Linked DNA regions of Arabidopsis thaliana. The protein of the gene in region 1 binds, or shares a complex with, the protein of each later gene. Each region holds a gene or a part of one and is shown in the gene's direction. Other genes may lie near its edges.

The links.
Region 2: CDC2 (region 1) and PC-MYB1 share a complex: the UniProt entries of both Arabidopsis thaliana proteins name them as parts of the DREAM-like complex.
Region 3: CDC2 (region 1) and MYB3R-4 share a complex: the UniProt entries of both Arabidopsis thaliana proteins name them as parts of the DREAM-like complex.
Region 4: CDC2 (region 1) and E2F1 share a complex: the UniProt entries of both Arabidopsis thaliana proteins name them as parts of the DREAM-like complex.

What each region holds. Positions count from the first base shown.
Region 1 is NC_003074.8:18,069,286-18,075,618, forward strand, and holds CDC2 (cell division control 2), read left to right. Parts: upstream 1-2,168; 5' UTR 2,169-2,386; intron 2,387-2,901; 5' UTR 2,902-2,952; coding exon 2,953-2,961; intron 2,962-3,034; coding exon 3,035-3,219; intron 3,220-3,303; coding exon 3,304-3,424; intron 3,425-3,519; coding exon 3,520-3,693; intron 3,694-3,949; coding exon 3,950-4,113; intron 4,114-4,311; coding exon 4,312-4,399; intron 4,400-4,501; coding exon 4,502-4,555; intron 4,556-4,921; coding exon 4,922-5,011; 3' UTR 5,012-5,356; downstream 5,357-6,333. UniProt on the Arabidopsis thaliana protein: Involved in the control of the cell cycle. Essential for both G1/S and G2/M (mitosis) phase transitions. Functions in cell morphogenesis as well as cell proliferation.
Region 2 is NC_003075.7:15,787,769-15,796,350, forward strand, and holds PC-MYB1 (Homeodomain-like protein), read left to right. Parts: upstream 1-2,364; 5' UTR 2,365-2,801; exon of another isoform or gene 2,802-2,816; intron 2,817-3,187; 5' UTR 3,188-3,270; coding exon 3,271-3,341; intron 3,342-3,477; coding exon 3,478-3,532; intron 3,533-3,756; coding exon 3,757-3,814; intron 3,815-3,980; coding exon 3,981-4,075; intron 4,076-4,175; coding exon 4,176-4,279; intron 4,280-4,375; coding exon 4,376-4,504; intron 4,505-4,665; coding exon 4,666-6,439; coding exon of another isoform or gene 6,440-6,484; intron 6,485-6,763; coding exon 6,764-7,011; intron 7,012-7,118; coding exon 7,119-7,233; intron 7,234-7,345; coding exon 7,346-7,564; intron 7,565-7,755; coding exon 7,756-7,875; 3' UTR 7,876-8,148; downstream 8,149-8,582. Other genes in the region: La1 (La protein 1), read left to right, coding at 1-26, 304-446, 537-685, 799-921, 1,011-1,305, 1,411-1,558, 1,654-1,726, 1,825-1,915. UniProt on the Arabidopsis thaliana protein: Transcription factor that binds 5'-AACGG-3' motifs in gene promoters. Transcription activator involved in the regulation of cytokinesis, probably via the activation of several G2/M phase-specific genes transcription (e.g. KNOLLE).
Region 3 is NC_003076.8:3,677,234-3,685,557, forward strand, and holds MYB3R-4 (myb domain protein 3r-4), read left to right. Parts: upstream 1-2,514; 5' UTR 2,515-2,842; intron 2,843-3,086; exon of another isoform or gene 3,087-3,159; 5' UTR 3,160-3,218; coding exon 3,219-3,271; intron 3,272-3,397; coding exon 3,398-3,452; intron 3,453-3,691; coding exon 3,692-3,749; intron 3,750-3,840; coding exon 3,841-3,935; intron 3,936-4,049; coding exon 4,050-4,153; intron 4,154-4,260; coding exon 4,261-4,389; intron 4,390-4,497; coding exon 4,498-6,235; coding exon of another isoform or gene 6,236-6,400; intron 6,401-6,447; coding exon 6,448-6,707; intron 6,708-6,800; coding exon 6,801-6,915; intron 6,916-7,045; coding exon 7,046-7,231; intron 7,232-7,358; coding exon 7,359-7,451; 3' UTR 7,452-7,651; downstream 7,652-8,324. Other genes in the region: AT5G11500 (coiled-coil protein), read left to right, coding at 656-783, 923-1,026, 1,138-1,225, 1,412-1,473, 1,561-1,713; ASP3 (aspartate aminotransferase 3), read right to left, coding at 8,024-8,108, 8,196-8,316. UniProt on the Arabidopsis thaliana protein: Transcription factor that binds 5'-AACGG-3' motifs in gene promoters. Involved in the regulation of cytokinesis, probably via the activation of several G2/M phase-specific genes transcription (e.g. KNOLLE). Required for the maintenance of diploidy.
Region 4 is NC_003076.8:7,358,634-7,365,499, forward strand, and holds E2F1 (E2F transcription factor 1), read left to right. Parts: upstream 1-1,901; 5' UTR 1,902-2,115; coding exon 2,116-2,298; intron 2,299-2,768; coding exon 2,769-2,931; intron 2,932-3,062; coding exon 3,063-3,119; intron 3,120-3,200; coding exon 3,201-3,286; intron 3,287-3,365; coding exon 3,366-3,454; intron 3,455-3,548; coding exon 3,549-3,603; intron 3,604-4,061; coding exon 4,062-4,114; intron 4,115-4,188; coding exon 4,189-4,239; intron 4,240-4,316; coding exon 4,317-4,365; intron 4,366-4,452; coding exon 4,453-4,518; intron 4,519-4,598; coding exon 4,599-4,672; intron 4,673-4,757; coding exon 4,758-5,028; intron 5,029-5,158; coding exon 5,159-5,228; intron 5,229-5,344; coding exon 5,345-5,487; 3' UTR 5,488-5,872; downstream 5,873-6,866. Other genes in the region: AT5G22210 (aspartyl/glutamyl-tRNA (Asn/Gln) amidotransferase subunit B), read left to right, coding at 916-1,158; OFP10 (Ovate family protein), read left to right, coding at 6,056-6,646. UniProt on the Arabidopsis thaliana protein: Transcription activator that binds DNA cooperatively with DP proteins through the E2 recognition site, 5'-TTTC[CG]CGC-3' found in the promoter region of a number of genes whose products are involved in cell cycle regulation or in DNA replication.

The sequences.
Region 1 (6,333 bases):
CTTACAAGGGTGATTTGTAGATATAGCACTTTTTCACTAAATAATTAACTAACTAACACCATAAATTTAAAAATGTAGTAAATAACCTTCAAGGGGTGTGAAAAGACATCACTGTCCTGCTGTTACGTTTGGCAGCGAAGAAGGAGAATGTTTAGTGTGAGCTGACGTGGCTTTATTATTGGTGTTGAGGTGAGAAAAGAAATCAGGTGGTAGGATAGAAGTTCCATTTTCTCTTACTTTTTTCTTTACCCCTTCCCAATTGTAATTCATATTATCTGATCTTAAAAAATTTAATTCAAGTTCATGATATATCAATTAAAAAGTTGTATAGTTTTCTACATATATCATGACTTAAATTTTTGAAAACAAACATAAAATAATTTAGATGTGAATAGTGTTGTCAATGAATAACATAAAGTTCTATATAGATAAACAATATTTTTTTATAGAAAGATATTAAACCCTAAAGGATAATATATAGAGAACCCAAGAGTTTAAATCTAAACCAATAATTAAATCACTTAACATCCTTAATCAAAACAAATAATTCATTTTAAAACGTATATAAAACAAAGTATACGTAAATAGTATATTTACAAATAGAATAGTATCTCTCAAATTGCAACAACGAAACTCAATTTCATCACCAAGACACCAAGCGCAACAACGAAAGTCGATTCCCTGAATCCAAATTGTGTTCCTCCCTCTGTAATTCGAAACCCCCAAATCAAATCTCACCCAAAAGTAATTAAGAGACTCTGATTTGAAAACAAAAACAAGTAACGAGGTAGGTGTAAAGACTTTACTGGGAGAAAGAGAGAGGGAGAGGGAAAAAGAAAGAGAGAGAAAGAGAGAGGGGGAGAGAGAGAAAGAGGGAGGGAAGATAGAAGGGAAGAGAGAGGTAGACGGAAAGAGAAATGGAGAAAAATAGATAAAGGGGTAAACTTGGAATTAATATACAAAATATAGAGGATATCAGTTCTTTTTCCTTTTGATGTTAGTTTCTTAATTATAAACTTTTTGTTGGTTAGTTTTGCCAATTCCCTTACTTACAACTGATAACCGTATAGCTCTTTTATCAGAAAAAACTTTATATATCTAATCTCCCAAAATATACAAATGTGAGAAATATCTGAAAATAAATCAATTCTCACCAATTATATATATTTGATTACTTAAAAATGTTAATATATGGCAGTTGCTTGTTCAGAGAATAACTTAAAAAATTGATCACGAGATCGGCTTATGTTTAATATTTTTGAACTCTTGGGATAAAAGTTTTGAAGATATATATATCGTAGAAAAGTTTTGTGTTCTTTAATTAGTTACAAAATTTTGAGTTTTTTTTTTTTCTTTCATAAAGTATCAGAATATCAGGGTGATTTATTGAATAGTTTATTTTTTCTCGTTCTACTCACGTTATTCTTGCAAGTATTAATTTTGGTTTGTTTATAAAAAAAGTATTTGGAAATTTTATGTGAGCAAGTGCGAAATAAACGAGGATTTTGGGAAGTATTTTTTTTTTTGTAAAATCGGTTATATTGAACGTTATACTATATATATTATTATATAAATATAACTGCTAAAGACTAAATTTAGATACTAAAATCAGCATTGATGAAGATCCACATGAATAAGACTCGTCTCTTAACTCAACATTTAACATATGATTTTCATATTATTGATCATTTATCTTTGTGTTGGTCCAAGGTGCCAGACTTTATTATTTACATTAAATGTTGAGTTGTTTACTGACATATTTTTTAATTAAAACAACTTTCATATTATTGCCCATTTATATTTTGGTTGGTCCTCCAAAGACTTACAGGATACATATGTTTCTCCATTTTCATTTTTATGATCTAAAACGTCTTTTTCTAACTTAGATTCTAAATGGTTACAGCAAACCGGACATACAATTTTGCTTGTCAAATGGATCGTTGAGATAGACAACAATCCAATGTAAAACCAAAACTCTTGATTTATAATTGGTCTGCAATGATTTTTTTTTGGTTCATATACCATTTTATAAGATAGCAAACCATTTTCATCATAAAAGATATATTTTTTTATCATTGAATACCAATCAAACCCGGTATAATAAATAAAATTGTACCAAATTAATGCGGTTAGGTAAATTCAATTTATTGGAAATTAAAGAAGAGAAAAAAAAAATAACGAACAAAATTTCCTTGACACAAAAAAAAAAAAAGAAGAAAGAAAAAACCCTTACTCTCAATTAGTCAATCCCCTTCCCTAGTCCTCCTCTCTTCAAGCTTTTCACAGAAAACCACCACCCTTCTCTCTCTACTGCCTTTTTACCACAGAGAAGAGAGAGGATCCGTCGGTGTGCTAGTCTCACTGACACTACATCCGATCGTCGCCGGTAAGTTGATTTCGTTACTCTCCGATCAATTTCTTTTCCGGAGGAGGAACTTGTTTTCCGTGCGAAATTCTGACTTGAACTTTGTTGTCAATTCATCAAACGCTTTATCTTTTCTCCATCTTCAATTATCTTACTGCTTCGTCGCTGATCTCTACTTGTTTTCCTCCGTTTTGCATTTTCAGTGGCGTTTCTTAGTGTTTCACTAGATTTAGACTGGTTTTGCTTGTGTGCATTTTGTCATCAGTGTTTATGATTGTTCGCTTTAGCTCTATGTTTCTATGGATTTGATAATATATGAGTTCGCTGCTCTGGATTCAGCTGGCTTGTTTGATTGTTCATTTTCATAATTCTGTCCAAAGAATCAAATCCACAGTAGCTCGGATCTGAGATTGATTTGTTTCTTTGCGTCTTTGTGTAGATTTGACTTTAATTTTGAGATTGTTGTGTGCTGATATACAGCTTAATTAATATAGCCTCTGATGTGTTATTATCGATGTGTCATTATCAATCTACAGGTGACATTTTATAAGTGTGGAGTTTACTTCAGCTTTATTATTCAGGAATTGATGGATCAGGTTGGTGTAAATAGTTGTTTCAGTTCTTACTCTTTTGACGAGAGTCTCTGTTAATGTGCTCTTATTAATGCAGTACGAGAAAGTTGAGAAGATTGGTGAAGGAACTTACGGTGTGGTTTATAAGGCACGTGACAAAGTGACTAATGAGACAATTGCTTTGAAGAAGATCAGGCTAGAGCAGGAGGATGAAGGTGTTCCTAGCACAGCAATCAGAGAAATCTCCCTCTTGAAAGAAATGCAGCACAGCAACATTGTCAAGTATGATGTTAATACCATTGTTGAAAACTGATTCAGCATGATGACTCTGGTAAACAATTTTGATTGATGTTTTTTGCTACACAGATTGCAGGATGTGGTGCACAGCGAGAAACGTTTGTATCTGGTTTTTGAGTATCTTGACTTGGATCTCAAAAAGCACATGGATTCTACTCCTGATTTCTCCAAGGATCTACATATGATCAAAGTGAGTGCTAAGAAACTTTAGGCATTGTTTTATATATGTGCTTAAACTCAATACTCAATATAAGCTGATCAGAGCTGTTCATCCACTATTTTCAGACATATCTTTACCAGATTCTCCGTGGAATTGCGTATTGCCACTCTCATAGGGTTCTCCATCGTGATCTGAAGCCACAGAATTTGTTGATTGATCGCCGCACAAACTCACTGAAGCTTGCTGATTTTGGACTGGCCAGAGCATTCGGTATCCCTGTCAGGACATTTACTCATGAGGTACCAAAGAGCTTTATTCCTTGTTCATATGTTCCCGTTATGAAATCTTTTGGCTGGCTGCATTCCTTATGAGTGTAATGTAAATTAAGTATTATACCACTTATGTGTCTGATAAATGTGATGAAAAGGACTAAGCCATTTCACATAGACGGTTGAAGTAAGCTAGTTCAAGATACTGTAAAATATTTCAATGCTACATCCAGATTTCAGATCTCTTCCTGGTTATTCACACAATTTTTGCATATTGTTCCTTTAGGTTGTTACTCTCTGGTACCGAGCACCAGAGATACTCCTAGGATCTCATCATTACTCTACACCTGTTGATATTTGGTCTGTGGGGTGCATATTTGCTGAGATGATCAGCCAAAAGCCCTTATTTCCTGGAGACTCCGAGATTGATCAACTCTTCAAGATTTTCAGGTTTAATTGCTAACTTCCCCAGTCCAATATTCCTCTATATATTACAAGTGCAAAGACTTGTCTGCAATGATATCACAAGGGATTGTGGAAACATTTTCAACTTGATATCACATTTTGGAGAAGTAGTAAAGGACACAGAAATTGAATTGTTAACTGATTATAAATCTGTTACTGCCTTGTTTTGTTGTCTTCTTCTAGAATCATGGGAACTCCGTACGAGGATACATGGCGTGGGGTAACTTCTCTACCGGATTATAAATCTGCTTTCCCTAAATGGAAACCAACGGTACTTCAAATGTCTTTATTCGCTTGTACATCTTGTCTTCAGTAGTCAAGAGTTCACAACATATATTAATTCTTGCCCTTGTTTTTTTTTCTTATACCACAGGACCTAGAAACTTTTGTCCCCAATCTAGATCCCGATGGAGTCGATCTCCTTTCTGTAAGTTCACTGAGCTAGATATATACACACACATATATAGACACACTACTTCTGCTATTAGAGACCTGTATGCTTGATTGTGATGGATCTGGTCTCATGTTTCTTACTAAAAACCTTTTAACCATTTGAGGTTTTAGATGTCTTATAAAGTCATCAAGAGCCGGCGTACTAAAACCAATTCGATTAGGCTTCATAGTTTCAAAACCACATGAAGCCAAAACCAAACTTGTTTGAAATATGAACAATCTTCAAAAACCAGGATTCTTGAAATTCCTAACCAAACCAGACATCTGGATAGAAATCTAAGATTTTGAGCTCCTGTGAAAGCAAAGATGATAATATATCTCTCTGCTTGATTTGTTTCAGAAAATGCTGTTAATGGATCCGACCAAAAGAATCAACGCAAGAGCCGCCCTGGAGCATGAATACTTCAAGGATCTTGGAGGCATGCCTTAGAAAGGCATAAAACCAGTAATCTCCTTCATTCTATATATAATTATCAATCCTAAGAAAATGAAGAACAATATTAATGGGTTTTGTTTATTCTTTTTCTGAGTTCGTTTCCTACTTATATTCTATTACGAAAAAAAAGAAAGAAGAAGATTTCGAGTGTGTTTTTTTTTACTTCTAAGCTTTTGAGATCAGTTTCTTGTATCTTATTTTACCCAGAATATAGTATTTCCCTATATGAAATATGGTTTTTGTTTTGCAAAATGACCATATTATGCAACTTCTCAGCTTCTTGATTGTGCCTTGATAGTGATCTTTTGAAATATATCCCAAAAAACATCACTTTTTTCGATTTCATTAGTACTTATTTACGAGTTACGACGTCATTTGATAACTAGTATATATGGTCCGTCGATCTTAATTTCCTATTTATAAAGGGTGCACCGTTTTTAATGAGACAAGAGGGTCCAAGTAGCCAATCATTAATGAGACCAAAGTTGACCAGAAAAAGCTGACAAATAAATTGACGAGAAGAACAATTCAACACGTATTCGATAGTTTGGATTACATTTTACAGTTGGTCGAAATTCGAAGTAGATCAAATGTCAATAATCTAATTCGAAACTAAATGAAGGTACCTGATAACCATTTCAGTGTTAGTTAGCAGTGGTTTCAATCTATTCACTAAGCAAAGACGCTTCCATTCTGAAAATCAAGTCCAATGGGAGGCATAAACTTAAGTGTCTGAAAAACTCAAAAAAGCATAGCCTCGTGTAAAATAGACCGATCTATTTATTCATGAATATATGTATGATTATCAAAGTGCATTTATACTTTTTACGTTTTAAAATTTCGTATATAAACTTTCCTTAGTGAATATTATAACATAATTTCTAATGAAAACTTGTTATATATTATTATTTTATATATATTTTTGCCAAGAGTTATTATCATTTTAAAGTTTTAGACATTTTTACTTATTGTTGCAGAGCGCATTTTCTCTTACAATTTATCTATTAATCAATAAAATAATTATAGACCTTTTTAAAAGATAAATAGTAATTAGTATATAAAGTTATATTTAACAATAGTGTATTAATCATAAAATCAAAATACTAAAAAAAAAAATCAAATTCAACAGAAATAAATAGCACATTAATGATAAAATCAGAATAATTTTATTAAATCAAATTCAACAGCAATATGTCACCCCAAAAACTATATACTTATTAATTTCAATCAGTTTCATTGTCATTTACCTAATTAGTTTAAAATATATAGAAAATTATAAACGTGTAATGTCAAGACTGATTCCTCAAAAAAAAAAA
Region 2 (8,582 bases), on another chromosome or scaffold:
TTCTGCTCTCAAGATTTCTGACGATGGTGAGTTTCATGATATAATCAAGTTTCTGTTGGGTTTGGATATAGTTAACAATTGCTTTAATTGATTCAAACGAAGTAGTGATATCTTAGAAGAAAGATAATAGTTTGAGAGTTTCAATTATAGGTGAATGGCCTGTGTAGTGCATAGTTTAAACTTAGTTTCATTAAGAAAAGTCTTTGCATGTGGATTTTACAAGTTTGATAATATGTGGTGTCAGATTGGAGAAATATGTTTTGTACAGTTTAGTGATCAATTTTGTTGGATTTTCTTAAACAGGGAAAAAGGTTGGTAGGAGTACTGAATTGTTGAAGCTGGAAGATTTGATTGAGCAACTTAATGCTAGAACAGTAGCTGCGTCACCTTTCTCCTATGATGTTAAAAGGGAAGACGTGGAATCCTTTTTCAGTCAGTATGGAAAGGTAATCCACTATCGATTGAATCATAAGCCATTGTTCAAAATTTAGATTGGTTATACAAGTTTTTGGTATATGTATGTGTCGTCCTTGCAGGTTAATAGTGTGAGGATGCCTCGTCATGTTGCAGAGTCGAGGATATTTTCTGGTGTTGCCTTGGTTGAGTTCCCTACAGAAGAGGATGCCCAGAATGTTATGAAGCAGAATTTGGTCTTTGCTGGTCAGGAGTTGGAGCTGAAACCAAAGTAATCATACTTAGACATGAAAACATGTCCTGTTTGCTGACTGTTTCTCATTTTACAAGTCTTTCCATTGAATGTTTGGATGGGTTACTTAAAAGGTGATATATTCTTTTCAGGAAAGAGTTTGATAATGAAAGGGAGAAGGATGAAGTAAAATTTGCTAATTACCAACCTCAGAAGGGATCTGCAAATCAGAAGAATGGTTCTGATCACAAAAACAATTCTGCTTATGAGCCAGAGTAGGGGTTTGACTGTTGCTATCTAATTACTTGTCTTTTCATGCTAATAATCCTCTTGATCTGATTATGGCTATTTTATCGTATTGTAGTTATCCCAAGGGTTTGATCATTTCATTCACCCTCAAGCGTTCAGCTGAAGAGGGTACCACGGAACAAAAAAGTTCTGAGGAGCCAACTGATAAGACAATGGAAGAAAGTGAAACAAAGCCAGCAGATACTCCTGATGCTGATAAAGAAAACACTGGTGAGGTTCAGGCCGAGGGAGCAGAGGATGAAGATGATGAGAAAGAAGAAAAGGGTGCTCTAGCCACCCATAAAGATAATAAGGATGTTGTCTTACGTGAAGATCTTAAGGCTGTTTTCGGAAAATTTGGTGATGTCAAGGTACTACTTGAGTTTTACTTAGCTGTCTGTCAACATGAATCAGATTCAATATCTCATATAACTGACATCATTTTCACTGATTCCTTTATTCTTTTTGTTGTGAAGTTTGTTGATTTCAAGATGGGATCTGAGACGGGTTATCTTAGGTTTGATGAACCTGAAGCATCCCAGAAAGCCCGTGCAGCAGCAGTATTAGCCAATGAAGGTGGACTAGCCGTGAAGAATTTTATTGCTGTCCTAGAACCTGTTATTGGTAAAAACACCTTTTCAACTTCAATCTTATCTTATAACTAAACCTTGTGTTCTGCTTTAGTTAAATGGTCACTTGTTTATATTGCTCTCTGTCAGGCGAAGCTGAAAAGGAGTATTGGACTCTCCTACGAAGCAAAGATCGGTTTGACAAGGGTGGCCGTGGAGGAAGGTGAGTTCATGTTTTTGTTCTGGTTTCTTTGTTATGATTTTGTTTCAAATGAAGTTTTTGTTTGGTTCTTCAGATAATAATATACTTGGTCTATGCAGGGGAGGAAGAAGAGGAGGGAGATTCGGGAGAAAGAGGGGATCAGATTCACCGGGTGGTCGCTGGAACAAATCTCAGAAGGTGGAAGCATGAGAGATTTCGCTCGTGACTGCTTCTGTTTTTCAATATATTTCTAGTTGCAACTTTAAATTTAATGTATCGACTGGTGACTCGTGATGTTATAACTAGAAATAGCTGCTTATTTGGCAAATTTTGGTTTAGTCATATTTGGTATTGTTTTGTTTAGCTTTATGTGCCTTCTTATGCACACATCTCTTTCCTTAATTATTTTAAATCGATGTTTAGGAAGCATTCTAAAAGACAAACTATTAATATTAACTGCTAAAAGTATATTCCTGTAAATTCTACAACTGTATCAATTGACTCACTGATGATGACACTATTTTACTTGAAGTAGTTAAAATTAATTTTGAAAATCAAATAGTTTTGGTATTCTTCTTGGTCTTCTCGTTTGACTTTGTCTACATTGTTATTAGGTTTTTATGCTGATTTTAGAATTAGCTGTTACTGGCAATTTCATCTTCTTCCTTTTTAATGAGAAAAAAACTCTTCTTTCATACAAAGAATGCTTTGCCGTTGTTTAGAAGAAGAAGCAACAGAGAATCTCGAAAGAAAAATGAATGAAGAAACGTATAAATAAATAAATTGAACTTTTATGATATGAGAGACTAAAAAGCGAGATTCAGAGATTGAAATCAACGGCTGAGATCACTTTCCTTTTTGTTTTGATCTCTCTCTCTCTCTCTCTCTCTCACTTCGAATTCCGTCCGCCTCTCCATGTTTGAGTTTTGAATACCTCTCTCTCTCTCTCTCATTCTCTCTCTCTCTCTCTCTCTCTCTCTCTCTCTCTCTCTCTCTCTCTCGACTTCGATTTCGATTTGTGTTCTTCTTCTTCTTCATCTGGATTCTCAGCGTCTTAATTACTTCAGATTAATTTTGGAATTCGTTGATCTGCAAGGTGTGAGCTTTACTCGTATGACCTCGTCTCCTTCTCTTATTATGGTCACATTTTTGTTAGTTTTCACGGAGACTTCTTCCTGATTTTTCAAAAATCTACTCTTTGAACTTCTCTTACTTTTTTTCGTATAAAGTTTCGATTTTCTTCAGATGATGTTCGAAGCTTTTTTCTCGAGGTTTTTGTTTTGGGTTCTGAAACTAATTCGGGCTTCTTATCTTAGGTTTTTTTGGATCCAATCTCAATATCTAAAGCTACCTTCTTCATTCTGTGAACTTCTTCCTTGTTTTGACTTTAGTTTGCTCTTTTGCTGTGAAGCTAATGCTGATTCTTAGTCTGAGTCCGACTGTGTTTTTAATTTTATGGTTTATCTTTGTTTCAAATTACAGCAATGTGCTTCGCTTATGATGATTTCTAAGACATATCAAAGAAACGGACTTTGGGGTTTTTCATATTGCTTTCCTTGCTAACTATGAAGCGTGAGATGAAAGCACCTACTACTCCACTAGAGAGTCTCCAAGGTGACCTCAAAGGAAAACAAGGGTACGCTTACATCTCTCTTCCTTTTCTTCTATTGGGTTTCAATGTTGAAGTTGGATTGCTTTTGGCACCAAATTTTGCATTCAACTAGACATTCTCAGGTTAATAATGATGCAAGCTCTTTGTGACATTTTCATAGGAGGACATCTGGCCCTGCTAGACGATCTACCAAAGGACAATGGACACCTGAAGAGGTGCGTTCCGTTCCTGTGTCTTTTTTGTTGTCTATCTGATTCTTCCATGCTTCATATTATGTATCCTGGAACACTGCCTGAGCTTAATCAGTTGTCTCTGTAACACCCTATTGTTGCTTCGCACAGTTCCATTTAACTAGTTGACATTAGCTATCCTTTGCATCTATTGAAGAATTCGTCTCTATGAAGTTTTCTGTTGTATCAATTCTGTTTTTCTGGATCAGGACGAAGTCTTGTGTAAAGCTGTTGAGCGTTTTCAAGGAAAGAACTGGAAGAAGATAGGTAAATCGAATAGCAAATTCTGATTTCTTCTTGTTTTCCCAGTTTGTTTTTCCAGCGTATGTTAAGATCATATCAATAATAATCTACTTTAGCTGCCATGTTTATTTGTAGTCTTTAGTTAGTACGGTGAAAGTAATATGTGGTTTTATTTGATTCACCTTTTCAGCTGAATGTTTTAAGGATCGGACTGATGTTCAGTGTCTTCATAGATGGCAAAAGGTCTTGAACCCAGAGCTTGTGAAAGGACCGTGGTCAAAAGAGGTGATTTTGTGAATTGCTTTATATGCTTTACTCGGTTTGAGTCTAATACACCTTAGCATTTGTAATGTGTTCCATGACATTACTTTTCCATGTTTTGAAGGAGGATAACACAATAATTGACCTGGTTGAAAAATATGGGCCAAAGAAATGGTCTACTATATCTCAGCATTTACCTGGGCGCATAGGAAAGCAATGTAGGGAAAGGTAATGCAAAGGCTCTCAACTTCTTTCCGATAAAATGATATTTACATACATTGGGTGGTACTTCAACGCACATAAACAATATTGTGGGTGATGTAGGTGGCATAACCATCTTAACCCTGGGATTAATAAAAATGCATGGACTCAGGAAGAGGAACTGACTCTTATTCGTGCGCATCAAATTTATGGGAATAAATGGGCAGAGCTTATGAAATTTTTGCCAGGAAGGTAAATATGTCTTTTCCATGGGTCCTAGTATAACAACATAGGTGTAACATGTCCGTAAAATTGGTGGCCTCATAAATGAAATAATAGGTTTTTGATGCTGGTAGTTGTGGTCTATCGTTCCTGCTTTGGTGATTTGCTTATTTTTTCTTACGTTCCTGTAGGTCAGATAATTCGATAAAAAATCATTGGAACAGCTCAGTTAAGAAGAAGTTGGATTCCTACTATGCATCAGGTCTTTTAGATCAGTGTCAAAGCTCGCCATTAATTGCCCTTCAGAACAAATCTATCGCTTCATCTTCCTCGTGGATGCACAGCAATGGAGATGAAGGTAGTTCAAGGCCAGGGGTTGATGCTGAGGAATCAGAATGCAGCCAAGCTTCAACTGTTTTCTCACAATCAACCAACGATTTACAAGATGAAGTTCAACGTGGAAATGAGGAATATTACATGCCTGAATTTCATTCAGGAACGGAGCAGCAAATCTCAAACGCTGCATCTCATGCAGAACCGTACTACCCTTCCTTTAAAGATGTCAAAATTGTTGTCCCCGAAATTTCTTGTGAAACAGAATGTTCGAAGAAGTTTCAGAATCTTAATTGTTCTCACGAGCTAAGAACTACCACAGCTACGGAGGATCAATTGCCGGGTGTATCTAATGATGCTAAACAGGACCGTGGTCTAGAGTTATTGACCCATAACATGGACAACGGTGGAAAAAACCAAGCACTTCAACAAGATTTTCAAAGTTCAGTAAGATTAAGTGATCAACCTTTTTTGTCAAACTCGGACACAGATCCAGAAGCTCAAACTTTGATCACGGATGAGGAGTGTTGTAGGGTTCTTTTTCCAGATAACATGAAAGATAGCAGTACATCTTCTGGTGAGCAAGGTCGGAATATGGTTGACCCTCAAAACGGCAAAGGATCTCTTTGTTCTCAGGCTGCAGAAACCCATGCTCATGAAACTGGAAAAGTTCCAGCTTTACCGTGGCATCCTTCAAGTTCTGAGGGCCTGGCGGGTCATAATTGTGTCCCTTTGTTGGATTCAGACTTGAAGGACTCACTTTTACCCCGTAATGATTCCAACGCTCCTATACAAGGTTGTCGCCTTTTTGGAGCTACCGAATTAGAATGTAAGACTGATACAAATGACGGTTTCATCGATACTTACGGACATGTAACTTCCCATGGCAATGATGATAATGGTGGTTTCCCAGAACAACAGGGGCTGTCATATATTCCCAAGGATTCTTTGAAGCTAGTACCTTTGAATAGTTTTTCTTCTCCTTCTAGAGTGAACAAGATTTATTTTCCTATTGACGATAAGCCGGCTGAAAAAGACAAAGGAGCTCTTTGTTATGAACCTCCACGTTTTCCAAGTGCAGATATTCCTTTCTTCAGCTGTGATCTTGTACCATCAAATAGTGACTTACGGCAAGAGTACAGTCCCTTTGGTATCCGTCAGTTGATGATTTCTTCAATGAATTGTACAACTCCGTTAAGGTTATGGGATTCACCGTGTCACGATAGGAGCCCTGATGTCATGCTTAATGATACTGCCAAAAGTTTTAGTGGTGCACCATCCATCTTAAAGAAGCGGCATCGAGACTTGCTTTCACCTGTGCTTGATAGAAGAAAAGACAAAAAGCTTAAAAGGGCTGCGACTTCCTCCTTGGCTAATGATTTTTCGCGCTTAGATGTAATGCTTGATGAAGGAGATGATTGCATGACCTCTCGTCCGTCAGAGTCTCCTGAAGATAAAAATATATGTGCCTCCCCTTCCATAGCCAGAGATAACAGAAATTGTGCATCAGCTCGGTTATATCAAGAAATGATTCCGATAGATGAGGAACCAAAGGAAACCTTAGAATCAGGTGGAGTGACTTCTATGCAAAATGAAAATGGATGTAATGACGGTGGTGCTTCAGCTAAAAATGTAAGTCCGTCTTTGTCCTTGCATATTATCTGGTATCAGTTATAAAATCCCAGTCATCTCATTCTCTGATGTCTATAGCTGTAAGGTGCAATGTCTGGTACATGGTTATTGAGTCTATTAGTGAACTTCTTGTTGCTTAACACATCATCTAGTATGTTGAATTCTCTTCATGTGAGATCGTATCAATCACATTTGCTCAAACAGATAGCATCTAGTTATTTCAGCTGTCTTTGTAGAGGATTATAGTTTTATAGTTGGTCTAAATCTCCATAACGTAATCTTATAAGCTTTAATCTCTAAATCTCTTACTTGCCCTTGTACCAGGACCAAGAAACTTCTGGAAGTTTTTTTGAGTTACGACTGTGTTCTCCTGGTATGACTCGAGCTAGACCAGATAACAAAGTTAATGCAAGTGCGAAAGATCTATCAAACCAGCACAAAATATCATTAGGTGATTTTCCAACAGAAGAAATGTCATCAGAACCTCTATGCACAGTGGACTCTATTCCTTTATCTGCAATCGATAAAACTAACACTGCAGAGACCAGCTTTGATATTGAAAACTTCAACATGTAAGTTTTACTTTTCCTCTGTATGTGTTTGATAGCTCATTTTGCTATTGAATCATATTAGCTCGAAAGTTCTAACCTAAGTTGTCTTGGTACAACTCGTTTTCCAGATTTGATGGAACTCCGTTCAGAAAACTCCTTGATACCCCATCACCTTGGAAATCTCCTTTACTCTTTGGTTCTTTCTTGCAAAGTCCAAAGTTGCCTCCAGAAATCACATTTGAGGTAAATATGAGATGGAATAAATTTAGTTTCTGGATGTTTTACTTTTTGTTTTAAGTTGAAGCGCCTGTTAATGGACGTATCTTCTTTGTTGTTTATCATTTTTTCTTCCCAGGATATTGGGTGTTTTATGAGTCCCGGCGAGAGAAGTTATGATGCCATAGGACTGATGAAGCATTTGAGTGAACACTCAGCTACGGCATATGCAGATGCCTTGGAAGTTCTGGGTAATGACACACCTGAATCGATACTCAAGAAGAGACAGCTGAACAAGTCCATTCAAGGGAAAGAAAATCAGCACCAGCCTCATGATCAGCTTGGGAACCGATCCCAGGTTTCAGCTTCAACTTACACCTTATATATCATACAAACTCTCAATAAGTTTCAAATTGATCAAGTCCTCTAATCAATACACCTGGTCTAGCTTAATGTTGAAATTGGATCTTGAACTTGGTAGATTAAAAGGAATAACAGTTTTGAGTTTATAAATTGACGTACTGTGAACCAATTCTCTGTGGAATGCAGGTGGAGTGTCGCGCCTTAGACTTCAGCGATTGTGGGACACCAGGGAAAGCTAAGGTACCTTCGGCTTCTCCGGGAGGCTACTCAAGCCCATCATCTTACCTTTTGAAGAGTTGCAGATAGAGAAGGGTGGTTTTGTTCATAGAGTTCTGAAGGGAGTCTCGCCTTCAATTTTTTGATCCCATATGTGTATGTCTTTTTTATTCCCTCCTTGTCCAATTTTCTTGTTTCTAATTTTTTTAAATGTGTAGATCTCTCAACTCTGGACATCATACCATTGATTAAATAGCGAAAAAGTAACTTGTTCTCAAGTAATTAACTTGTAACTCCAAAAGTTCTCGTCCTCATGATGAACCAAGTGATTTTCTTCTTGTTCTGTTAAATGCTAAGAATTTTTCACAATGTTCAGGTATGATACTGATTCATAAAACCATTAAAAACCAGCAAAGTTTGTATTATGATATTGTGTAGACACAGATTCTTCTTTTATAGGACTTGGAAGTTAATACTAATCCTTTTATGATGCTATTACTGTTGATCTAAAGGTTATTGTACAATCAAAATGTATTGTTAGGCCTATACTACAAACCCAAGATTCCTACAATGAACAATGTAAACGATCAAAACCGACCATGAACTGCTCAAAAGACAGAACCAAACACAATCTTGATTGATCCACTATGTGTATATCTACAACAGCAACAGTCCTAACCGTTCTGATTTATCTTCCGGATCAAAATCTTCTCATGATCCGTCCATAAACAACATCAGCAGAAAGCAGAGACATGAAATAACCCGAGAATCACTGAGGGAACAATTTGGTGAGCCCA
Region 3 (8,324 bases), on another chromosome or scaffold:
AATTATGATGCTTGCTTAAACTTTTTCGTGGGTATATAGATAGATTTGTGTTCTTATGGTTAACTAGTACTGAAAAGGTAGATATATTGGGGCCCCTTATCGCCGAGTCTTGGTGTTCATTCAAGTGTGGTGATGTTTGGAAACTTTCTGAAATGTTGTTTGGTCTGGTTTTGCAGCTGCCATATGAAAATACCGTGATAATGTTAATTGATTAGTCCTTCTTTGAGTTAGATTTATGGATTTACTGGAAGTTGTGTACTCACCCCTATTTGAGAGCTGTTTTTTTGGCATGTCTATTGTCCACTCATGTTGTGTTGGCTATTTTCAAACTTTGATGTTTGTTGATATGAATAAGGGTTTGTTCTTCCTTTTTTCAAAAACAAACTAGAGTTGAGTTTCATAGCATTTCTATTGATCATATGCTGCTGAGCAAATCGTTTGCGGTTCAGTAAGTTTATTCATAACTGGGATGTATGAGTAAACTTATGGTAAATCATGTCTACTCTATACTCATTCTTTTTTTGCTAATGTCAATCTTTGATGTGTTTAGACATGTATAGGTTGTCTTTATCTTCTAATTTGAATATTTTATTTTTCTTATAAACTTTAGGAGCTTCACGACCAAGCTGCTAAAAGTAATTTTCATTTGATGCAGGTTTCACGTGGATAAAATGTCGTCAGCTCATGTTTACTTGAGGCTTCATAGAGGCCAAAGTTTTGATGACATTAGTGAAGGTGTGCTGGAGGACTGTGCTCAGCTTGTGAAAGCTAACTCCATTCAAGGTAATCTTTTTTTCTACCTGTCGTGAACTTAACATTTGCATAACCATTAGTCTTAGAGTACCAGTTTGTTTTTTAGAAGGAGGGCACATATAGGTTTTTTCTGTTTTCTTACCGACTGGTGTCTGGGATTATGTGCCAGGCAACAAGGTGAACAACGTTGATGTTGTGTACACTCCGTGGTCCAACTTGAAGAAAACTGCCTCCATGGATGTTGGTCAAGTTGGTTTCCACAATTCAAAGATGGTAAGCTTCTTCATCTCTAAAGAAATTTTGGTTGCGCATACATAAACTGCTCAAAGTATGGTTGTAAAGCTTCGATGATATTGATACCTAACTCATATTTGTTTCGTTCAGGTCCGGACTATCAGAGTGGAGAAGCGAGTCAATGAAATAGTTAACAGACTGAACAAAACAAAAGTTGAAAGAACCCCTGATCTGAGAGGTTAGTATTTGTTTTGTGAGCTCTTCCTCAGATTCTAATAGGTAGAAGATTGATCATGCATACATCTTTCTCGTTTAACAATTTTCCTGCTGATGAAGTGTCAGTTAAGTGTCTGTAGTTTTTCCAGTCAGTATAACTTCAAGATCTATGAAAATAATTTGATTGTTCATAACTGTGTTGATGAAGCCGAGAGAGAAGCAGTGAATGCCGCAGAAAGGGCAGAGAGGAAACAACATCTGAGGGAGAAGGTCAGTGTCTGTTTTTGGTCGTTATCATCTTAAACGTCTTTGATTAGGGTTTTGACTGAAATCCTCGGTTGTTTCTGGATTTTGCAGAAGAAACGTGAAGAGATAGATAGGCTTGAGAAGGAGAGGCAATCAGAGATGAGGAGTTACAAGGGACTAATGGTAACTGATAAAATGACATCCAACAAAGACATTGCTTCAAGCAACAAATCGCTTCAAGAACTTGAAGACGATTTCATGTAAAAGCTCTGAAGAAATGAGAAACAAAACAAACCAAGTCGGTAACATTCTGCCAGAGATGATCTGGTACCGTCCTTCAAAGAAGGCTTATGATGTTCTACTCGCCTTAACTATGATGTTGATGGTTGTCCGGTTCTATGTTTTCTTTAAAAAAATCTTGAATACCTAAAACCCTAATCTGGTTCTTGGACTCCTTGGTCCATTGAAATGTTTCAAAAGGATTGAATCTGATCTGTGGGAAAAAGGAGAGCATTATATTCTATATATGACACAGGTGAACCAGTGATCTGGTGCAATTATGGTTTACTCTGCATTGCTGTGTAACCTGAAATTTGTTTACTACCCCATAAAGCTTCATGTGTTACTCTGCATTGGGTTGGGTTTTGGAATCACTTTATTCTTGACCATAGTTGCTATTGTTAAAACTTGCGGGTTGAATTTAAACAGTCCTGTCTCGTGATTGCAGTGGGTCTATCGGGTTATTACTGTAAGTTAGCGGGGCTAGTCACTAGTGCTTAGACTACTTTTTTTTAGCGACCATAGTTGGCTTGTTGATGATATATGATTTGAAATAATTATGGTGGCCCCTAAAGTGATTTGAATCAATAATCCAACTGTTGGTGTACTTGGAAATCTAAGGGTATTAAATAAATCTGAGTGAAAATTTGAAAAAAAGGGAAAAAGAAGGGAAAATAAAGGATAAGAAACTAAATAATTATGTCCGTTAAATACTAAAAAAAGATAGGAGACACGTGACCGAAAATATTTAAAATGGACGGCTGAGATTAAGACTGAGAGCCGCTCAAAAAAAAAAAAAAAAAAAAACCAAACGTTATTGACTTGTATAGGGTTTGTTGAAGAAGGAGACTTTAACATTTTTGAATTTCCGCCAGTCTTGTTTTGAAATAGCTCTGCCGACCGTTTAGATTTCTCTCTTTTATCTATCTTCTCTGGGAAAATTTTCAATTAATCTCTCTTTATTAACTCAGATCGTGAACATTTATCTCCGATTGGAGGAGATTTCTAGTTTTTGATTGGATTTACTTTGGGCATTTTGGTCTCTCCAGTTTCTGGGTATCGTCGTTGTCTCTCTCCGATTTATGAACCACTTCCATTTCTGAAGCTCGCATAGGTTTGTTTTATGACTCCATGGTTCTATATTTGAATCTAGGTTGGTTTGGGTATGATTTGATTTTGAATTTATTGTCTGCTTGATCTAAATAGTTTGCTCTTTTTAAAAATGACTGCGAACAAAAGTTCACAATTAGTAGTCATTGTAATTATTTTCAAGCTTCGAGTATGTTTTGTCCTGATTAGCGACCGACTTTTTTTGGAGCTGAATCCTTAGTGTTTTTTTTCTTTACAATTTATCTTAGGAAGATTGTGAGATGGTACAAAGGAGGGAATAGTAGTTTTGAAATATAATGTTTTGGAGTTACAACATTGCAGAGAAGAAAGGCAACGTATGGGAATTGGGGTGACTATTTTTGCATTTTCATTGACTAGTTATGGAAGCTGAGTCTTCAACCCCTCAGGAACGGATCCCGAAATTGCGTCACGGGTATGCTTCTTTTTTTCTCATATCTTACTAACTAATAAATTGTTAGCTTGCCACAATATCCTACTAGATTGACATGTTTGTCACACCTAGAATTGAGTTGCATGACCAATTGTGTGGATTTTACAGGAGGACTAGTGGCCCTGCAAGACGTTCAACTCGAGGCCAATGGACAGCTGAGGAGGTGAAATTTATGTTTCCATCAGCTTCTTCTTATAAGTTTCTTTCCAATCCTATGTTCATGTAGCCAATTAATCTGGTCTCACGTTCTTGATATATGCAACAAAACTCTGCCCTGTGTTTGTTCATTTGCATGATATCATTGATCATGAGAGATACAAGAAGTAGACATTTGGATATATGCATTTTTACATTCTATGATCTGCATATTTGCTAAATCATTTTAACCAAACATATTCTCAGGATGAGATCTTGAGAAAAGCTGTCCATAGTTTCAAAGGAAAAAACTGGAAGAAGATAGGTTGACATTCTTTCCTTTCTATATTCATTTACTGAAGTGAACTGTAATCTTCCTTGTCTAAATGCATGTCACATCTTTTCTTAACTCTCAGCTGAATACTTCAAGGATCGAACTGATGTCCAGTGCCTCCACAGGTGGCAAAAGGTCCTTAATCCTGAACTTGTTAAAGGGCCCTGGACGAAGGAGGTGACATAGTTTTTTCCTCCACTATTTCTATAACATGTGCATCTTGCACTGTTTGCTTTGAATTTGCAAACATCTCTGATGACTGTTTATTGCTCTCGTTTGACATGTGTGTAGGAAGATGAAATGATCGTTCAGTTAATCGAAAAATATGGGCCGAAGAAGTGGTCCACTATTGCTCGATTTTTACCTGGCCGTATTGGAAAGCAATGTAGAGAGAGGTATGCTTATAGAGACAGCTATTTCTCTAACAACAGTGTTTTACTAGCACTATATAGTTTTTGTCCTCTTTTCAAGATTTTAACTGTGAAGGCTGTTACTGATATAGGTGGCACAATCATCTCAATCCTGCCATAAACAAAGAAGCTTGGACTCAAGAAGAAGAGCTGCTTCTGATTCGTGCTCATCAAATATATGGTAATAGATGGGCTGAGTTAACAAAGTTCTTGCCTGGAAGGTACTCATTTCTATTGTTATTTGAAAAATCATCGTACATATTTATTCAATCTTAAAGGTATTCTTCTATTTGTTCTAGCAATATAGTTTTCTGCTATGTTATCAACAGGTCGGATAATGGAATTAAAAATCACTGGCACAGTTCAGTCAAGAAGAAACTTGATTCCTACATGTCGTCTGGCCTTTTGGATCAGTACCAAGCCATGCCTCTAGCTCCTTATGAGAGAAGTTCTACATTACAATCAACTTTTATGCAAAGTAATATAGATGGAAATGGCTGCCTAAATGGACAGGCAGAGAACGAAATAGACAGCCGTCAAAATTCAAGCATGGTTGGCTGCTCACTATCTGCAAGAGACTTTCAAAATGGAACTATCAATATTGGGCATGATTTCCACCCCTGTGGAAACTCTCAAGAGAATGAGCAAACTGCGTATCATTCAGAGCAGTTTTACTATCCGGAATTGGAGGATATCTCAGTCTCCATCTCCGAAGTCTCTTATGACATGGAAGACTGTTCACAGTTTCCTGATCATAATGTCTCGACTTCTCCAAGCCAGGATTACCAATTTGATTTTCAGGAACTATCAGATATATCACTCGAGATGAGACATAATATGTCAGAAATACCAATGCCATACACCAAGGAGAGCAAGGAATCTACTCTGGGAGCTCCAAACTCCACATTAAATATTGATGTGGCTACTTACACCAACTCAGCAAACGTTTTGACACCTGAAACGGAATGTTGCAGGGTACTTTTCCCTGATCAAGAGAGTGAAGGGCACAGTGTTTCTAGATCTTTGACCCAAGAGCCAAACGAGTTTAACCAGGTAGACCGTCGAGATCCTATCTTGTATTCATCAGCTTCAGACAGACAGATATCAGAAGCTACAAAATCTCCTACGCAGAGCTCTTCTTCAAGGTTCACTGCAACGGCCGCCTCAGGAAAAGGAACTCTTCGGCCAGCTCCCTTAATCATATCACCAGACAAGTATAGCAAGAAGTCATCTGGATTGATATGTCATCCCTTTGAGGTAGAACCAAAGTGCACAACAAATGGAAATGGTAGCTTCATATGCATCGGTGATCCATCAAGCTCCACTTGTGTTGATGAAGGGACCAATAACTCCAGCGAAGAAGATCAATCATATCATGTGAATGATCCCAAAAAGTTGGTTCCAGTGAATGATTTTGCTTCTCTGGCAGAAGATAGGCCACACTCTCTACCTAAGCATGAGCCAAACATGACAAACGAGCAGCATCATGAGGATATGGGGGCATCATCAAGTCTTGGTTTCCCAAGCTTCGACTTACCTGTTTTTAACTGTGATCTTCTACAATCTAAAAATGATCCTCTACACGATTATAGCCCACTTGGCATACGCAAGCTACTGATGTCCACCATGACGTGCATGAGTCCCCTTCGACTGTGGGAATCTCCCACTGGGAAAAAGACGTTGGTTGGTGCACAGTCAATCCTTAGGAAACGGACCCGTGATCTGCTGACACCGTTATCTGAGAAAAGAAGTGATAAAAAGCTTGAAATTGATATAGCAGCCAGTCTGGCAAAAGACTTTTCACGTTTAGATGTGATGTTTGATGAGACTGAGAATCGGCAATCTAATTTTGGAAATAGCACTGGTGTCATCCATGGAGATAGAGAAAACCACTTTCACATTTTGAATGGAGACGGTGAAGAATGGAGTGGCAAGCCTTCTTCACTCTTTAGTCACAGAATGCCAGAAGAAACCATGCATATCAGAAAATCGCTTGAGAAAGTAGACCAAATTTGCATGGAGGCAAATGTCAGGGAAAAGGATGATTCTGAACAAGATGTTGAGAATGTAAGTCTCTTTCTTTCCTTTAACCATTTGAATATAAGTTGTGCTACTGGTTTACACAAACTCAGTTCCTTTAGATTTTGTCGCCAATCATGTCATTTTGTCACCTGTGTTAAAATCTTCATTGTTTTGGTGAGTTTTAATCGTCATTGTAGCAATAGATTGTAGATGTAACTGACATACATAACCTTTATGATGGATCAAATCTTATGCAGGTTGAATTTTTCTCTGGTATTCTTTCTGAGCACAATACCGGTAAGCCAGTCCTGTCTACTCCTGGTCAGTCAGTTACTAAAGCAGAGAAGGCGCAAGTTTCAACCCCAAGAAATCAGTTGCAAAGAACTCTCATGGCTACGTCTAACAAAGAACATCATTCCCCTTCAAGTGTTTGTTTAGTGATTAATTCGCCTTCTCGAGCGAGAAACAAGGAGGGTCATCTTGTTGACAATGGGACAAGCAATGAGAATTTTAGCATGTACATCTATACCACCCTTACTAAAATATTCCTTGTCCTCTTTTTGCTTTCATTTCTTGCTACAATGATTTTGTTTCTTCTTTCCATTTACAGATTCTGTGGAACTCCATTCAGGAGAGGTCTTGAATCTCCCTCAGCCTGGAAATCTCCATTTTACATAAACTCTCTCTTGCCCAGCCCAAGGTTTGACACAGATTTAACTATCGAGGTACTTGATAATGCCTTAAGATCCTTGTATCCTATATTCAACATTTTTACTTCATGGGTGCATAATTTCAAATTCTTTTAATATATAGACATGTTATCCTTAGGCAACTTAATTGTATTTATTTTTTCAGGACATGGGCTACATTTTCAGTCCTGGGGAGAGAAGCTACGAGAGCATAGGAGTGATGACACAGATAAATGAACATACAAGTGCATTTGCAGCTTTTGCAGATGCAATGGAGGTTTCAATTTCACCTACTAATGATGATGCGAGGCAGAAGAAGGAATTGGATAAAGAGAATAATGATCCTCTACTGGTATATATACATACTCTACAAATCATTCACTCTCTAAGTAGACGGTTTTGAGATTATAGTTCTAGAAACAAAGAAAAATGTTTTGTGCTCCATTGATTTTGTGTTTTGAACATTTCTCAATCTATAGGCGGAGCGTCGAGTGCTGGACTTCAACGATTGCGAGTCTCCAATCAAAGCAACAGAAGAAGTCTCATCCTACCTCTTGAAGGGATGTAGGTAAAATGCCAAAAGCTTATACATAATATGCAAAATGCACCATACATGAACAATGTATAAATATGTATGTGCATCTTTTATGAATTATCCCTGGCTGGATCAATTTTTTTTCTCTGTTTCTTTTTAATGGATCAATTGGAGTGAATTTATGTAGATTCTGTGTTCAATATATATATACATATTTCATTTGCCTGCAATGAGTACACGTCCGTATACTCTGTGAAACGAACCAACTGCAGTAACTTATTCTTGTTCTCTGCTAGTTTAATCTAAATAGTTTCTGCAATTCCGTCATATGCTAAAACCTCAGATTCTACATGAACTGTATTCAAGTTCACCAGCTTAAATCTCAAATGTTTTCTCTTAAACATTTGACTCTATAAGAAACCAAAAAAGAGTTGTAAGCAATAGTAGAAGAGAGAGCACAAAAGCTTTCTTGCGTACTTTATTGATACTGGGATGAAACAATAATAATAGTAACGACATTTATCTTGTCACTGCCGGAAATGCTATAATAGAAAGAAAAGAACAAAATCTTTATTATGAAGCTTTGGTGTCATGGTGGTGTTCAGTTTCTCAGACGGCTTTGGTGACAACAGCATGGATAGCGTCTGCAAGGTGAGGTACAGTCTTCGAACTCAGACCAGCCATGCTTATCCTCCTTTGGTTCATTTATATCAATCATCACACACTAAGTTAGACAAAATTCAAGAAAATTAATAGATGAAGAAGAGAGGCAGGCGCTTACCCGTCAGATGTCATGTAGATGTGGTACTCTTTAGTCATGAAGGAGACTTGAGCTGGGTTTAACCCTGTGAAGGTAAACATACCAATCTGCTTTATGATGTGACTCCAGTCTCCAGGAGTGCCTGTCACA
Region 4 (6,866 bases), on another chromosome or scaffold:
CTCTGTAGAGTGTAGTTCACCTTTTTGAGCATTCGTCGCTATGTTTCCACATTTAAACCATAACAGTTGGCCCAAAGAAAAAGTGAAAGCTAATGGGCTTTTTATGTTACTAGGCTTAACCCAGAAAATGACATACAGCTAGCGATACGACATTGGTTTAGCTCTGCAAAACGCTCTATAGTGTCTGTCTGGTCAGAAATTCTTCGACTCACTTTCGGTTTCTGATGTTTTGTCTCTCTGATTGAAAAAGGTAAAATCTCTTGAATCTATATCATATCGCTAAGCTTAATTTGCTGGCTAGGATTTTACCTGATTTTTTGGGTATATAGTGATGATAGAAATTTGAAGTAATTTCTCCAGTTTTCTCATTGATTTAGGGGTTTTAAATGTAGACTTAGTATTCATGAATGAGTTGATTTCTAATTGATATTATCATGTTAATCATCTTGAAGAATTGACCTTGAATTGGTGGTTCATAGATGTCTCATCTTGTACAATTTATTTGCTCGAGGATCTTATGATTCTTGGACATAGTGGAACAAAGATAGCTTTAAAAATGGACGCTGAGATGATTACTTGGTTGATGTATAATAGTTTGGTCTCTTAATTAAGGTTTTGATGGTCCTTAAGGTTAGTGTATAGCTTCTATAGAACTTTTTAGTCTCTCCTTTTAGATGGTTATGACGAATTGACGATTGTGTTATTCACGAGATAATTTGCATCCGAACATGTAAATGTTACACACTTGCAATATTGGTGTGCATGGAGAAATTATAGATTGTGTTAAGTGTTAATCCCAAAATGCATCTGCTAAAAGTGTTGCATAATCATCTTGTTGACTAGATAACTTGTTTTTGTGGTTTGGACAATGTGACGATACTATATATGATGTATGTAAAGATCGGGTTTTGCAAGATGGGAAACAAAGCTACAACGGTGAAAGAAGAACGCGAAGAGATCCATTTGAAGATTGTACCTCCATTGGACAAAGTTTTTCTGCGTTGGCTCGCAAGAGATCTCCAGAGAGTTCATGGATTCAAACCGAAGAACAACACTCGTGCGATCACTCCTCCAGATAGCTACATCGAGTTTATGCGGTTAAATGGATCGCTTGATGTAGATTTAGATGACCCTGATCTTGCCCATTTGTTCAAGTAAAAAGGGGTTCTTCTATTGTTGTCTCTGTTTGTTATGTATGAAGCTTTCAAAGTCTTAGTATCTTTTTTGATTACTCATACAGTCATACTTAAAGCTTGTGTTTTGGAAGCTCAGTCTATAAATATATATTATCTTCTCTAAACAGTATAGCATTCATAAGAGATCCAAGTGTCTGCATTCAGACGACACATGTTTCTATTGTCTTGGTGCTATGATTTGGAATCCCTATGTTTCGAGGTTCCATTTAAAAAAGTTGTTAAATGATGAGACACTCATGAGCATAATTTTCATCAATATAGTTTTGCCTCACCTATGAATTAAAAACAAAAAAACGTATAAGTTCGACAGATTTTGACGATAATTGCTCACACTTAACGCGTGTAACGGATGCTGCAACAGTTTGATGAAATTATTATGCTCCACTTCTTAACATGAATAAATCCAAAATTCATTTTTTTCCCCTCAATCTCAAGGAAATAAAACTGTATCCAAATTAGTTACATAGCTTTATTAACTTCGTTGACTTTAAAAAAAAAAAAACTTACTTAAAATTTTATAATTTTGTATTATATATAAAAATAGGATTATTATTATTTAGTAGAGAGATATTGGTAAAAAGATTTGTGTACAAAGAGAGAGATAAAGAGCGCTAATTCCCTCCACATCAGTATTCAGAACCAAACGCAACTCATTCCCTCGTTTTCTCTCTTCCTCTTCCACCGTCTCTTTTTTTTTTTTTTTTTATAATCCTTCCTCTTCTTCATCTTCTTCTCCTCTCCCGCTTTTTTTCGATTCGCCGATCTCTTCACATTCTCTTCCCGGAATCTCCGTAATTCCCGCCGTAGATCTGCTTCTTAATCGTTATTGGGATCTCTGCTTACCGGAGATCCGAGTTTCCGTGACAATTTTCGCCGTTTCTTTTTTTTTTTGGGGGATTTTTTATCGAGATTCGTTCTTATGTCTGAAGAAGTACCTCAACAATTCCCATCTTCTAAGCGGCAGCTTCATCCTTCTCTTTCTTCTATGAAGCCTCCTCTAGTTGCTCCTGGTGAGTATCACCGGTTTGATGCGGCGGAGACTCGCGGTGGTGGAGCTGTTGCTGATCAGGTTGTCTCTGACGCGATTGTGATCAAATCTACTGTAAGTCTTTTTTCTTCTCAATTTTGCTTGTGAATTTTGCTTTATAATTCTCGTGTTTTCGATTGTGTGTGAGGTTTGGTTTTATTGATTATGATTTTGATGATGTCGTTGCTTTAGATTTTGATGAGAATTGTGTCGGGATCTGCTTCTGTTGGTGTTAATTGCGTTTGGTCTCTTTTGATTAACCTTGTTTGTAGTATTGGAATTAGCATTGCAAGTACTTATTGAGTAGTTTAGTTGCTGGACTTAGGGTTTGTGGTGTTACTGTTATTGCTATTTAGAGCAGATTCATGCACTTTTGTGTTTATGTTTAGTTAAATTAGTTTCTGAATTTTGCTATGTTGGAATTGGTAAAAGTTGTGTCTATGCTTTTAGATTTCAGCATAGTGACAGTATGATGCTGATAGGATTTGATTCTGTTCAATTCGTTGATGTATTTAACTGTTCAATTTTGGTGACTTTATTGGCAGCTGAAGCGTAAGACAGATTTGGTAAACCAAATAGTTGAGGTCAATGAATTGAATACCGGTGTTCTTCAAACACCTGTATCAGGGAAAGGGGGGAAAGCCAAGAAAACTTCTAGGTCTGCGAAGTCTAATAAGTCTGGAACGCTAGCTTCTGGCTCTAATGCAGGTGAGTTTGGTTCTAAATGCTCTGTGTTAGTATGCCAATGAGAAATATTTCTTATGTGCTCATCTGAGCTAAATCTTCTTTAAAGAGTGGAGATATTGCAATGTAGTGAGAAGGATCTTTTGTGTTGGCAGGTTCTCCTGGAAATAACTTTGCACAGGCCGGTACTTGTCGATATGATAGTTCGTTAGGTAATAACTTATTTCATTAACTAATGTTTAAAAAATGTACTTTTGGATAATAAGTTTTTTTAATGATTTAATCTGCTTCAGGTCTTTTGACAAAGAAATTTATCAATTTGATAAAACAAGCAGAGGATGGTATTCTTGATCTAAACAAAGCAGCTGATACTTTAGAGGTGACATATTTGAACTCTAGACTCCCATATTGATGTATTACTTTCTGTCAAACTTAGCTGTATGTTCCTGTTGATGCAGGTACAAAAGAGAAGGATATATGATATAACCAATGTGTTAGAAGGAATAGGTTTGATAGAGAAGACGCTTAAGAACAGGATTCAGTGGAAGTAAGCATGTCTTAGAACTGTCAAATCTTGGATTCCTTCCATTTGATGACTCATGTGTGAGCGACAGTACTCTGAATTTTCTTGTCTGTCTTAGGGGTCTCGATGTCTCAAAACCAGGAGAAACAATCGAAAGCATAGCTAACCTACAGGTACAGAACATGCCTATATATTCTTTACCTTTTCATTGCACATTTCACTGCGAACTCTGTTATGCAATGCTCAGTATTATCACCAGTTTTATTATTGTTTTCACGTTAAGGGTATATCTTAGCTTGCATTGTCTTCTTGAACATCGTATGAATCTGCATTAGTATGATTCTTGTTATGCCTGTTTTCTGAGAGCTAAATGTGTTAGGAGGTAACTAGGATACTAGTAAATTTACCATACACACAAACATCGATGACATGTAACCACAAGCTCTGTTTTGTATACCCGTACTGGCACCTTTGAATGATGAGTTTCTGTTTTATGTTTGAACCTGTTGAATAAGTGGAAATTGGTACTGCAGTTTTTCTTCGATCTCAGTCACTTGCATTGATTTCTTGTTTTGGGTTTTTGGTTCGAAAAACTATTCATGTTTTATAATTCCTGTTACCAATCTTACAGGATGAAGTACAAAACCTCGCAGCTGAGGAGGCAAGATTAGATGACCAAATCAGGTATTTTCGCAGATAATTTTCCTTCCCTTTTCTGCTGTTTTGTATCATCTTTTTGAGAGTCGACCTGGTTGCAGAGAATCACAAGAAAGATTAACAAGCTTGAGTGAGGATGAAAACAACAAAAGGTAAGCGTCCCCTGCTATTTCTTCTGCCGAAAGGTACAATAAAACATATCTGTTTGTTCTGACGCTCCACTTTTTAGGTTACTGTTCGTCACTGAAAACGACATTAAGAACCTACCATGCTTCCAGGTCTGGTCTCCTTCTAGTAATTACGTGTTTCTCTTTGCCTTGCATTCTTCTCACTGGGGAAACATGTTTTTGTGGTGCCTATTTTAGAATAAGACGCTGATAGCTGTAAAGGCACCGCATGGAACAACTCTTGAGGTTCCAGATCCTGATGAGGTAAGCTTAAGAGCGCACAAAACCAAATGAGCGATGCACTGTCTGTAACGATTCTCACCTCTTATCCTGCCATTAATCAGGCTGGTGGTTATCAGAGGAGGTACAGAATCATTCTGAGAAGCACAATGGGACCAATAGACGTGTACCTAGTCAGGTAACACTGTCCTCAAACGTTATGCTTGCCCTGGATAAATCTGTAACATGGAAGTGAGACTGACATTTATATTGTGCTTTTTTAGTCAATTCGAAGAGAGCTTTGAGGACATTCCTCAGGCTGATGAACCTTCAAATGTTCCTGATGAACCCTCTAATGTCCCTGATGTACCTTCAAATCTTCCATCAACATCTGGTCTCCCTGAGAACCATGATGTATCTATGCCGATGAAAGAGGAAAGCACCGAAAGAAACATGGAAACACAGGAAGTTGATGATACGCAAAGAGTTTACTCTGACATCGAATCTCATGACTTTGTCGATGGTATCATGAAGATTGTTCCTCCAGATTTGGATGTAAGTCCCAACTGCTTCCTCAGCTTAAAATTTTCACCAATGTACATAATCACAGTCTGGAAAAGTAACCATATCTAAAAAATCATGCTTGACTTAATTCATATTTACCTGTATGTTACATTATATACAGATGGGTGTAGATTACTGGTTTCGATCAGAGGTAGGCGAAGTCAGCATCACAGACATGTGGCCAGATGAATGTATCCTTGATTTCTATCACTTTCTGTGATTTAATCTAATCTCTCTTTGAGCTTTTGAGTTTTTTCCTCCCCAAATATGATATCTGTTTAGAGCTCCTTGACTCTTTCATCATTAGCTGGACCAGACTGGAACCAGATGATTACATTTGATCAAGACCACGCTGGACCGAGCGACAACAAAATCTTGGAGCAGCCACAAACTCCATCGAGCCCAACACCAGAAGAATCCACTGCTACGAGATCACCTACAGGTAGCTGAAGTTACCATACCACATTACAAGCACCACCATATATCTGTACATAGAATCTGATTTCGGTGAAACCAGAGTTAATGTTGTACTTGTACAGTAGCTGCATTGCATTATCATAGAATAGAGATTGCAAAATAAAAGTAGAGAAACCAACCCCTTCGTTGTATTCTTCATTTTTTTTCTTTGTTAGCTTCTCAGGCTTAATATAGAATTAGCCTTAGCCCATTGATTTCTTAATATTGGTCTTGTTCATGTGAAACTGCAAAACCTTTTAGAGTTGTAGACGGGTGCTTAGTAGTTTTACATGCTCCATTTCCGGTTTACCAAAAAGGTAACCAGATCGAAACTAAAACATATTTCCGTTCATCAAAAATCTTGACGAAAACATATTGGTTCGGTTGTGGTTTGAGAGATTTCTTTTTGGTTCAAATCGGTTTCTATGTCCAATCCTTTGATATCACTCGAGATAGTTTCTTACAAATGATATCATATATAACTTTGAATTCACCTCAAGATGGTATTATTTTCCTTAAAAAAGAAATCCATCAAAATTGTGCATCTCCAAAGCAATGAGCAATGCTGAATCTCCAAGCTAAGTTAAATGAAAAAAAGGTTCCTCTTTTAACAAACTTTCCCACACCAACATCCTCACTCAATAATCTCAACTTGTTTTCTCTTCCTCTAGTAAAAAAAAAAATGTCTTTCAAGAAGATGATGAAGTATATACTCAAAACCATATTCAAACCCATTTTTATGGCATGCGGTTGCGGCTCTACCGTTCCACCTTCCTCTCACAGCCACTACACCCCGGGACCACCGGTTTCTCCCACGGTTTTACGCAGCCCATGTCCTAAGATCGATGAGAGCGTCGCGATGGCTAAAGAATCAATCAATCCGTTCGAAGATTACAAGAAGTCGATGAATCAGATGATCGAAGAGAGATATATCGAGACGGAAAGTGAACTTAAGGAGCTTCTAAGGTGTTTCTTGGACATAAACCCTTCTCCTCAACACAATCTCATCGTCCGTGCTTTTGTCGACGTCTGTTCACATCTCCAACCACCACACGACCGACGTGGGAAGTCACTTGGGAGATTGCTTCGTCTATATGTTAACAATCCTCTTGATAACAATGATGATGACTCACACCAAACTTCTTCAAAATGAGGAACTAAATCCTCCTCATATCTCTCTCTATATATAGATGTTACAATATTGTGAATAATTTCAATTTATGATTCCATGACTAGATGTAAACTATTAAACAACACCAACAAAAATCAAAGTTATACCTCAAAGCCTAGCTCTAACGTAACGATAATATTTTACTGCACAAAAAGTTTTGAAGTGTAAATTGGTTAAACAAAACCAAATTGAGTTATTTCGT